Linked DNA regions of Drosophila melanogaster. The protein of the gene in region 2 interacts with the protein of the main gene of each other region in a biochemical or structural test. Each region holds a gene or a part of one and is shown on either strand. Other genes may lie near its edges. The genes, in order: IscU and MAPk-Ak2.

Region 1 (4,024 bases), on a different chromosome or scaffold from region 2:
TTTCTAGGTACATAAAAACAACTCTTTCCATTAGCATCTATAAAAAATACAAAGGGTATAGTTAGTTTAGGGATCGAAAATAAACAAAATTATAAATACAATTTTGGATCAAACGAAGCAATTTGTTGTATGATTGGAAAGTGCAAAAATAATTGGCTATCCATTAAGACCAAAAGCCCAAATGAATGATCTCACGGACAGAATTATATTCCGATCTACAAAAATATAATTTGCTCCGAACGGTGATGCAATTAAATTAAATAAAGTACTAATACATATTTATCTAGTTTTCATTTAAACAAACATAATTGAGCGGGCTTAAGAATTTTAACATGACCAAACTTATTTAGCACTGTGCTTGCTGGCATTCGTCCTGGCTACTCCGGCCAAGGACACCAAGAAGCCGGCCACCAACAGTTGCCAGCACAACTGCGGTGAAGTCTACGAGCCCGTTTGTGCCAAGGCCAAAAACAGCAGCAAGGAGCGCCTCCTCACCTTTGGCAGCCCGTGCGTCATGGCCAACTACAACTGCCAGCATGCCGACGATCGTAAGAGATCCTCTACAATATCCTTACAGAATTAAATATGATTTAATCCTTTTGCAGCATTCGAGCAGAAGTCCAAGGGCGAGTGCGGCGGTGGAGTGAGCGTTCGCCTGTCCTAGAAGTCCAATTTCAACACTTTTGACGATTAAACATCTTTCACTGATTGTGCAATAATATATTCATGTATTTTTTATTCCAACGGGAACGCTTTATTTGTTTTCGACACAAGCTTGTATTTCGCATAACAGAACGGAAAATTTAATTAGCTCTCGGGACTACTTAGAATTCCCCTACAAAACACACACGTGCATATGCATTCATACAAGATCAGTTCCAGCTATCCTTTAGTATCAATGACAGACGATTCCTAAACTTCTATGCACTTATCAGCAGTCACGCGGCCAATCTGCAATCAAAATCAAAGCATTAATCAGTTGGTATGATTATTATTGTTATTATTTCAGTAAAAGTGTGTTAAGAGCAACTAGCCAATAGGCAATAAACGAGGATTATTTTGCATTGTCATACATATTATTAAAAAATATGTATGTAGTTCCTCTTAACCACCATTCACTGTATCCATACCATTTGACTCACCACTCACAGAGCTCTAGCGAACAATAATCGCATACTACGACCTAATGCCAAGTAATATATAGTATATGGTATTGTATTGTATGGTAGAGTACTTATAGTTGTTTTTTTTTTAGTAGTTGTTCAGAGAAACGCTCCACTACATTCACAGATTCCGTTCCGCCTCTCAGTTGGCCACCTTCTTCTGCTGCTTGACCTTGTAGTCAGCCAGGGCCGCCTTGATGGCATCCTCGGCCAGCATGGAGCAATGCAGCTTGACGGGCGGCAGACGCAGCTCCTTGGCGATGTCCGTATTCTTCAGCTTTCCGGCCTCGTCGATGGACTTGCCCTTCACCCACTCGGTGGCCAGGGAGCTGCTGGCAATGGCCGATCCACAGCCGAAGGTCTTGAACTTGGCGTCCACTATCTTGCCGTTCTCGTCCACCTTGATCTGCAGTTTCATCACATCGCCGCAGGCTGGTGCTCCGACCAAGCCGGTGCCCACAGTGACATCCTTCTTGTCCAAAGATCCCACGTTGCGCGGGTTTTCGTAGTGCTCAACGACCTGTGGGTGAAAATAGGTAGGTGTGTTAGTCACCAGGGGGTTGTGCTATCGCGCTTATCACTTTGCGTGCCGCCTGAAACGCTGTCTTTCAGAACGACAACAAAGTCGTTTCTTATCTATATTATACAGCTTCTAGATATTACGAAAGAACCTTCCGCGCGGCAATTGCGAGTTCTAACTTACATTTTCATGATACAATGCCACCGGGACACTTTGTACGCGCTTCAGCTGCGATCGCAGCAACCGGGAGGAGTTTCGCACCAGGGACATATTTAAATTAAATAAATCAATTTAATGAAGAATTGTTGTGAAATTCAAAGAGATCGAAAAAACACAGGCAACTGCGTGTTAGAAACAGCTGATGGACAGTGTGCCCGTTTTAAGGCAGATGTGAAAGACCAGCTAACGCCGTTGTCGATATGTTTTCGATTTTTTAAAAGATTTCTTATATTATTATTATTTACTCCTTAAAAACAGTTCAGTATAATAAGTTATTTACTATAAGTAATAAATTGTTTTTATCAATAATGAGCCATAAAAAAGCTTGAATAAAGCACCCTCTTGCATTTAAAATCACACTCTGAGTTGGCAGCTTGCCAGGTATTTTGTAAACTCACTCCTATGGTCACTCCCCAATCACAAAGTTTACTATTGCCCATCCACAAATTCTGCCAACTTCCGATATATTTTTACAGCAGCAGACTATGAGTTTCTGAAACTAGTCCCCTAGGTCAATAATATCCACATCCAGTCATGACCTCTCGCAAGCGCAGTGGCAGCGGCTCCACCAAGCGGCCCAAGGAGAAGGTTCGCCCGGAGCACTGGATTTCACGAGCTCCGCCCTCGAAGATTTGTGCTTTGCTTGACTAATTGGAATTTATTGCAGGTGGTCTATATATATGAGCTGTTGTGCCGGGGCGAGGATCCCAGCAGCGAGAGTCCCGAATTTTGGAACGAGTTCTTCCTGCTGCAGCCGAACTTCGAGGCGCTGGAGAATGAGATTGGCAAACTCAACAACGAGCAGCTGCAGCTGGTGAAACCGAACCTGAACACCCTCTTCCAGAGGTGCATCGAAATGCTTGACACGGGTAGACCAGTTTGACCTATTAATATATACCTCCAGCCACCTATAATCCGTGATTTCCCCCAGAAGATCATCCTAAGCGGCTGTGCAACAGCCTACACACGCTGTGCTCCCTGTTCTACGGGATCTTTAAGAAGTCCAACGCAGAACCAACATTAAACATCCTAAACGAGATCTTCGGCCATGAGAAGATGGACGAATGGCTGAAGCTACTCATGCAGTACTGCAATCGCATCCTCCTGGGCGATGTGCCCGAAAACGCTCGATTTATGTGCCTCAAACTGCTGCAGGTTCTGGTTACGGGCACGGATAACGTCAACCAGAACGCCCTCTTCGAGCATCTAATGATGCACAGCATGTTCGACGCCTTTGTTCGGCTACTCAGTGATCCTACGTTCCGTAGCCAGCATGGACACGACATCGTTATCCTACTTACTATCCTGGTCAACTATCGCAAGCATGAAGCCACTAACCCCTATGTGGTGCAGCTCTCCATACTCGCTGATGAGCTGGCTTTAAATGGGTGAGTCCATTTAGTCAATGTAATGTATGTATGTATATTTCTGGCAACTTATGTGAAAGCAATTGGCTTAAAGAATTTATAATCGAGGGTAATCAAATATTTAAACTGAATCACAAAGTTCTTTTATGTGGCAGCAGTTGGTGACTGACGTCATCAAACAGATAACTTGCCACGAGCTTGCATATCTTATTTCGATAGTAACCCGAACTTTATCTTGATTCCAGCTATGGCCAAATGATATCGCAATCGCTAATTGATTTCTGTCGCCAGTACATTCAGAGCCTTAACAATGTGCAATCCTCTTCCTGGTTTTCGTCGCTGTCGAATATTGTGGGCAACATGTTTGTGTCGGATGAAGGATGCGAACGGGTGCAGCAGATCAAGGCGAATAATGGCCTTCTACTTGCCCTCTACGAGGCAGTGCACCTGAATCGGAACTTCATCACAACTCTGGCTCACACGCAGGCAGAGTCCAGTGCCCCGCCCTCGCCCAGTAACACATTGAGTCTGGCCCAACCTGTGCCGGATCTATCTAATGCACCCATCATTGACATTACGCAGTATCCCACCAATCTGCTGGTGGCCGTATTTCAGTACTGTTCCATCGTGATGCAGGACAATAAGAACGAATCGAGCATTGCTAATCTGAAGCTGTGTTTCCTCATCCTCACCTGCATTTCCGAGGACCAGTACGCCAACTCCATGATGCACGACAGCAATCTTACCTTCAAAGT
Region 2 (6,681 bases):
AAACTACTACGGCCAACAAGTACATGGAACAAAAGAAAACAAATATGAAATCAGAGGACAGGAAGCAAAGCAAAGCAAAGCAACCAAATGTATTTTTCTAAGCGAATTTTCTGTCACATATTTTGTAAATTGATATAACACGCAACTGAAAGTACGTCAAGGTAAACGTAAAACGCGAACAATAAAACAATGAAAAAAGAAGCCCGTAAAAACGATACAGTAAAGCAGATCGAAACCACAACACGAACCTCTTACAGAACCTCTGATAAAAAAAAAAAAAAACAACACCACACACAAGAAATACAAAAGAAACGACACGAATAACCGAATCACAAGTACAAGTACGTGAATGTTAACTATTGTCTTAGTCGTAGCCTTTAGTCCGGGTATTGTAATCGCGGCCTCTCGCAGCTGTTGGCCCATCACACTGTTGGCAAATTGTTATTTGCAACCTGCACGAAAAACAACCTCCTCCTACCCATTTCCCCACCCGACCCCACGCCACGCCCCATTCCCGCCCACAAGCACCCTATGCGAAAAGCATCGTTGATGATTATTGATGGCTCACATGCCGGAGCACTGTTGTTGATCATGGAAATGGAAAATAAATGACACTACAAAACCGAAATCCAGCTGACTTTTTGTTTCCATACCAGATGGTGGTGGTGGTAGTGGGTCAAGCTCAGAGTTTTTCCAGAAGATGCAACCACCACTTGTTGTTTTCTCCCTCTAAACCGTGCTTTTATCCCACTTGGCGTTGAAATGAAAGCAATTTTGTTTTATGTTTTAATCATAGTAAAATAAGCTTGATTTGTTTTTATTAATTTGGGGGATGATCTTGTTGTTTATGGACTACAAATATGCTATACGGTAAAATGGTATATCGCTTGCAGAATCAGCAAATAAAAGTTATAAACAACACTGAATCTTGCGCAGATTAATGCTAACGTGAACTGGCTGTATAATTGTTTCTCCACACATATGCCATACATACACAGACGGTTATACATATACATATATATATATAATTATAATCAAAGTCACGTACACGTAAAAAACGGTTCGGTTACAAATGACACGTTTTTGGAAAATAATATTTAAAAAAAAAAAGGGAATCGAAAAACGAAACACTTTCACGCGATACCGAGACATTTTGAATATTCGGCTGGGCTGGCTGGCTAGCTAGGCTTGCACTTGGCTTTACTTAAGTTCGTTATTTGCGCATTACGCTTTATAGTTTCTTTTACAAAAGAGCACTTTTCAGACTACAAAATACCCTAAGAACCCTTGACTGGAAATGGATAGATAGATAATGGGACAAAATGAATAAGAAAACGTAACGTAACAATAACATGGAGTAGTTGTTTTGCAAAGGTTGCTGTCATCGTAGTATATTAGTTAATAGCAGATCTTGCCGCCGTCGTAGTATAGTAGTATTTATCGTTTTTGTAAAGCATTGTACAACATTGTTATCCGCTTAAGTGTTAAACCGATGGTTCGCCCATCCTACATCCTACGCCCATCTCTCCTCATCTCATCTCATCTCACTCCCGGGTTGGCCGTGTTAGTCGCTCTGGATTCCTCGTTGTCTAGTTGCGCGTCGCATTGGCCATGTATAACTCCATCTCCTCGATCTTTTTCCTGCGCTTCGTCAGCAGCGGGTTGTTCGACTTGTCCAGCGCCTTGATTTGCATCTGCAGAAAAGAAAATTCCAATTAGGAAAAGACCTTCTTTCAAGTTTTGAACTAATCAAAGCATTTCAGGCGCATTAACCTCCTGTTAGTTCTTATAATTAGTGACTTTCCAGTTCACGACTAGAACAAAAAGAGGGCTAGGAAGTAGGCGACTTGCTAATTGCTTAAGCATACTGAAATTGAAATTTATTTTTCCATTGTATAAACAAATTGACCGAAAAGATACTATGTACAGTATGTGGTGAGAAGCAAATGAGTAATGGTTATATAATAGAAGTGAAAACTTTGGACTCGCATTGAGATTTATCTTTTTGTTGCAATGCCAAGTTGCCACTGCGGGTGACTCACCTGATCGTAGTCTACGCGCATGGTGGCCAGTGAGCGCGTCATCTCCTCCTGCACTTCCGGCCAGGTTTCCTCGGCCTCCTTTAGCATGCGACCCGTGCAGAGCGGTGTCTGTGGAACAGCATTGTACTGGGCAATCCACTTGTTGCTAATGACGTCCTGGATGCGCAGACGCTTGCTGGGGTCCACGTTCAGCATGCCCTTGATCAGATCCTTTGCCGCCTGGCTCACATTCGTCCACTCCGGATCGGGAAAGTCATACTGGCCGGTGCGGATGCGATTTTTCATGCCGGGCGATATGGCTAGGCCGTGGTTGCTGTAGAACGGCGGGAATCCGCACATAATGATGTACATCACCACGCCCAGCGACCAGATGTCGCAGCTCTTGTCGTACTTCTCCGGGCCCAGAACCTCAGGAGCTGCAAAAGAAAAAACATGTCATTAAAATGGGAACTATCCAGAAGAATATCTTATAATATATTCAAAATGGAAAATGTACTAACTTTAAGGAATAAGTACACTGTATTTACCCAATGAGAACTGAATTCTAATTGTTAAAACCTTATTATGAATCCCCCGATATGTTCGCAACCTTTCTTTCCGTTCGATTGCAAATCGAGTCGATTGCACTTTGCAAACTCTCGAACAACTCTTTCGCAACGAGATTGAGAACAAGGCTGAATTGAATTACAGAAGTTATAGAGAAAGTTCGCTTAGTAGATTATGTAAGCGGGGCGGTACAAGCATAAAAAGTAATTTTACTATCAGCAAATGCCTGTCATGCGGCTTCCGGGCTAAAACAAAAACTCCTGACACAATTCCGTGTGGGTAAACAGACGATTTTAACAATTATAGAGCAATTTTTCGTGCCCAATGTGACAATTGACCTCAACTAGAAACTAGATGATGATTATCCCTACAAAAGGCACACTCACCCACGTAATAGGGAGTGTAGCAGGGCGTCTGCAGCGTGTAACTGGTGAATGTCTCCTTGGCGAAGCCAAAGTCCGTCAATTTAAGGGTCGCATTCGGCTGAGTGGTGGTGTACAGCAAGTTCTCCGGCTTGAGATCGCGATGCGCTATGTCGCGACTGTGCAGATAGTCTACGGCCGCGCAGATCTCGTGCATTATCTGGGCCGCCTCCCGCTCCGTAAAGGCACCGTCGGCCTTGTCCTGAATTCTCTGGAAGAGCTCGCCGCCCTCCATGCACTCCATGACCACCAGGAGGCACTTCCTGTCCTTAAACGTGTTCTCGTACACATCAATGATGTTCACAATGTACCGGCATCCGCTGACCCGCCAATGCAGGTCCACTTCGCGACGCGCCCTTTCACTGTCCAACAGCACCTTGAGGGCATAGTTCTGTTGGGTGCGGCGATGGGTGCACTGCACCACCTTCCCGTTGATCCCGTAGCCCAGAACCGTGTTCGAGGTCACGTAGTCGTCCGTCAGTGGGGTGGTCTTCGGTTGCCGTTGATTCTGCAGAGAAAGCATTCTGGAATCGGCTGATCTTTAACTGAAAAAAAGATAAATGGTCAATGGAGTTCGGTGATGAGTGGTCTTAATTTTATAAGTAATCTAGTCAGCTTTAAAGCCTTGACTTGATACCAAACTAACTTCGTTTTTGTGCAATTAAACAAAGCTTTAAATTGATTTCATTATTGCAAGACGCTTCTTTTCATTGTTATCGTGAATGGAAAGCCAATTTTGGTTAACGATTTATGGGCAACTTATTTGCTTAACGATTTCGGCGTCATTGAGGGTCGGGCCAAAAAAAAAAGTAGTCGCTTGAGGAACAATAAATTTTATTTAATTATTATCTTTCGCAAAACTATTGTCGTCGTAAATGTAAGGTTCAGTTAATCTGGGTGTATAGCAGTTGGGCTTTTTAATTACTGGCAATTAGTCTGCCGTGGGAATTGATAGGGGATTCCTGCACAACGTTTCCACTGCTCTTTTGGAAAGTGAATCCCTGGATAGCAATAATAAAAGTGCATCGAGAAAAATGTGTTATTTTCTTTGTTTTCGTATAATTAACCTTTTGGATCTAGAAATATAGTCAAGATCTTCAAGAAGGGTACATTGCTTTCATGGCGTGTACGAAACGAGAATAGGAATTGCTACATACATTCAGTTCTCCAGCCTTATAGATATACAGAATATGGAGATCCGAGAACCTCGAAGAGCTGCGATCTCGGCTCGATTCAAATTGCATGCAAATGAACTTACAGAGAGGCAGAAAAAAAATATCAAAAAGAAATCTGGGGGCGGAGGAAGTTGGGTGGGGTGGCTGGTTAGGTCCACAGTCGCTGCATATTTTCGTGTTTTCTTTCTTTTTCTGTGTTTTCCTGGAAAAACGGTATACAATGTTTTTCTTTCTGTTTTTTATAACGGGGGAAAACAGGAAAACGGTAGTAATTGCATATGTTGGACGCGTTATCGGTAATCGCTAATATCGATACACGGCTGTATGCTGAGTGCATTTGTGTGCGTGCTGCCGCACTGCTGATGAAATACATGGTGCATTTGGTTTTTGTTAATTTCGTGCACATTACGCAGTGGCGGAGAATAGAACTATTATTTTCTCAGTCTTCTTTAAAATTGGTTAATTAACGAGTATTTTACTGCCCACACACACACCGCACGCACACCGAAAAGGCCGCGCACACACACACACACTATCGAACGGCCATACAAATGCAAACAATGCGTCATGTTCTCCCACTGTTTAACTAGTAATTCCTAGAGTTCTCGTTTTCACTGTACACGCCAGTACATTTTTTTTATCTTGTTATCGCCTTTCGATCGTTTTCAGGTGGTCCAGTTTTTTTTTTTGGCCACGCGCAGCGATTTTATCTTATCCGCTTTTCATTCTCGCCCGGATATATATTCCGCATTATTACCTGCTCTTCAGCTGATCGTATTTACCTTTCGGATATTTACTTTAGCGTGCTATGTAACGGAACGAAAAAAAAGAACAACACGACCAGGGAATTTATTTGTAAATGCTTCGCGGTGTGACCAGGCGACACTGAATGGAAAAAGCTGTAAATACAGTGCAATGTACCAGTACAGGTATGCTAGTTAATCGATTTGCGGGTTATCGGCTTGTTCGAAAGCTAAAAATCGATTAAATTGATCGAATACAGGATAACGGTACGTTTTTGTATTAGATCTAACTGAAACTACGTTTTCCAATTAGATTTCGTATTAATTGATTCTTGTTAAAAAATAAAAAAATGAAGTTTTACTTGCGGAACAGTTATGTCTGAAATGCTTACGTTAAAATCGGTCACTGAATGACGTTACTTAATGTAACATAAACAAAACATAAAATAAAATTGTTTGACTATCGAATATTTTGTCGAGCTGCTTATCGCCGTTCGCCCATCACTACTACCGACTGTCTACAAAGTGGAGTGGGGTGTGGGTACTGCAAAAAGTGGTTAAAATGTTGTTGCCACGGCCAAACTGACGATGCGCCGCGTCCGCTGAGCCTCGTGTCCGCATCCGTGAGATCCGTGATCCCCAGGTCCGAGCTCTGGGCACCCGGAAATTCCCCAACGAGCACATAGTCCGGCTGTTTTCTGTTCGTTTTCAATTGGTTTGCATTGATAGACCAGGCAAACCAAACAAACAAACAAACACACTGAAGCATCGGGATTCTATATATATAAATAGAATAGAAACAGAAAAGTAGATAGACATCCTCACTGGCCCCATTTGATTGCGGATCACATCAGCGCGCCATGTCGCAGGTGCTTAGCCCCCACAAACAGGGCGTGTCGGAGGCGGATGCGTTGGACTACACGAACAGCAGCTCGATCATCGAGTTCCTGGCCAAAGAGCAGGACTGCGGCGGAATACTGAACGATCCGGACCCGGAGTCCATATTCCAGGAGGTGAGTCGCCTGTCCGACAGCACAGATATGCGATCCGTGGATGAATTGCTGCAGGAAGCGGAGCGCCTGATCCAACAGCAGTTGCGTCTCGGCGGTATTGTTCCAAAACTGGACGCTTCCGGGCCCCCTGCTCCGACCAAAACCCTCGGAGAAGAAGCTGCCACCGGTGGTGATGGCTCTTCCTCATCCCCGCAGTCCTCGCCGCATAGCAGCATACGGCTGAATACACGCTATACCCATCGCATCGAGCATTCGCCTGCTCCCTTGGCGCCAAAAACCGTCGCAGTCAATGGCAGAGTCCGGCCCAGATCCGGTTCCAAATCGTCGGCCTCGCCAACATCGGTGCAGACGCCGCTAGAAAGCAGCAATGGATGCGGCTTTGCCGCCTTCGTGGATAACCTGCCATCGGCGTCGGTCATTTCCGAGGAGTCCACGCCCAAGGACATGGACATGGAGAACCATACGGCGGCCATGGCAAAGCTGCAACTCCAGCAGCTTCAGGATAATACCGATGACGACGAGGATACGGTGAGTTTCAAAATTCGCCTTGCAGGTTTATATTCCACTTATTCTTATTGGCTTGTATTTGGTCATGTTCTTCTGACTGCTAGAATGAATTTCGAGTTGGTTTTCCATCAAATATATACTTTTTTTTTCGAAATATTTCCCCAATTTATGGTTAAACCACGGTGTGTTTTGTTAATTGCTGGGACATTCTCAGGGAATTGCTGTGCTATTAG

The links.
Region 1: of the proteins of MAPk-Ak2 (region 2) and IscU, one has a biochemical effect on the other in vitro, tested with the Drosophila melanogaster proteins (one study listed by BioGRID).

The regions. Positions count from the first base shown.
Region 1 is NT_033777.3:8,822,119-8,826,142, forward strand, and holds IscU (Iron-sulfur cluster assembly enzyme), read right to left. Parts: upstream 2,060-4,024; 5' UTR 1,954-2,059; coding exon 1,867-1,953; intron 1,684-1,866; coding exon 1,306-1,683; 3' UTR 1,143-1,305; intron 952-1,142; 3' UTR 731-951; downstream 1-730. Other genes in the region: CG8369 (uncharacterized protein), read left to right, coding at 1-7, 351-548, 606-664; CG8379 (uncharacterized protein), read left to right, coding at 2,437-2,490, 2,570-2,771, 2,834-3,290, 3,515-4,024. UniProt on the Drosophila melanogaster protein: Scaffold protein for the de novo synthesis of iron-sulfur (Fe-S) clusters within mitochondria, which is required for maturation of both mitochondrial and cytoplasmic [2Fe-2S] and [4Fe-4S] proteins.
Region 2 is NC_004354.4:5,759,127-5,765,807, forward strand, and holds MAPk-Ak2 (MAP kinase activated protein-kinase-2), read right to left. Parts: upstream 5,078-6,681; 5' UTR 4,943-5,077; intron 3,807-4,942; exon of another isoform or gene 3,657-3,806; intron 3,559-3,656; exon of another isoform or gene 3,556-3,558; 5' UTR 3,534-3,555; coding exon 2,975-3,533; intron 2,459-2,974; coding exon 2,043-2,458; intron 1,695-2,042; coding exon 1,590-1,694; 3' UTR 782-1,589; downstream 1-781. Other genes in the region: CG42699 (uncharacterized protein), read left to right, coding at 5,789-6,469. UniProt on the Drosophila melanogaster protein: Its physiological substrate seems to be the small heat shock protein (HSP27/HSP25).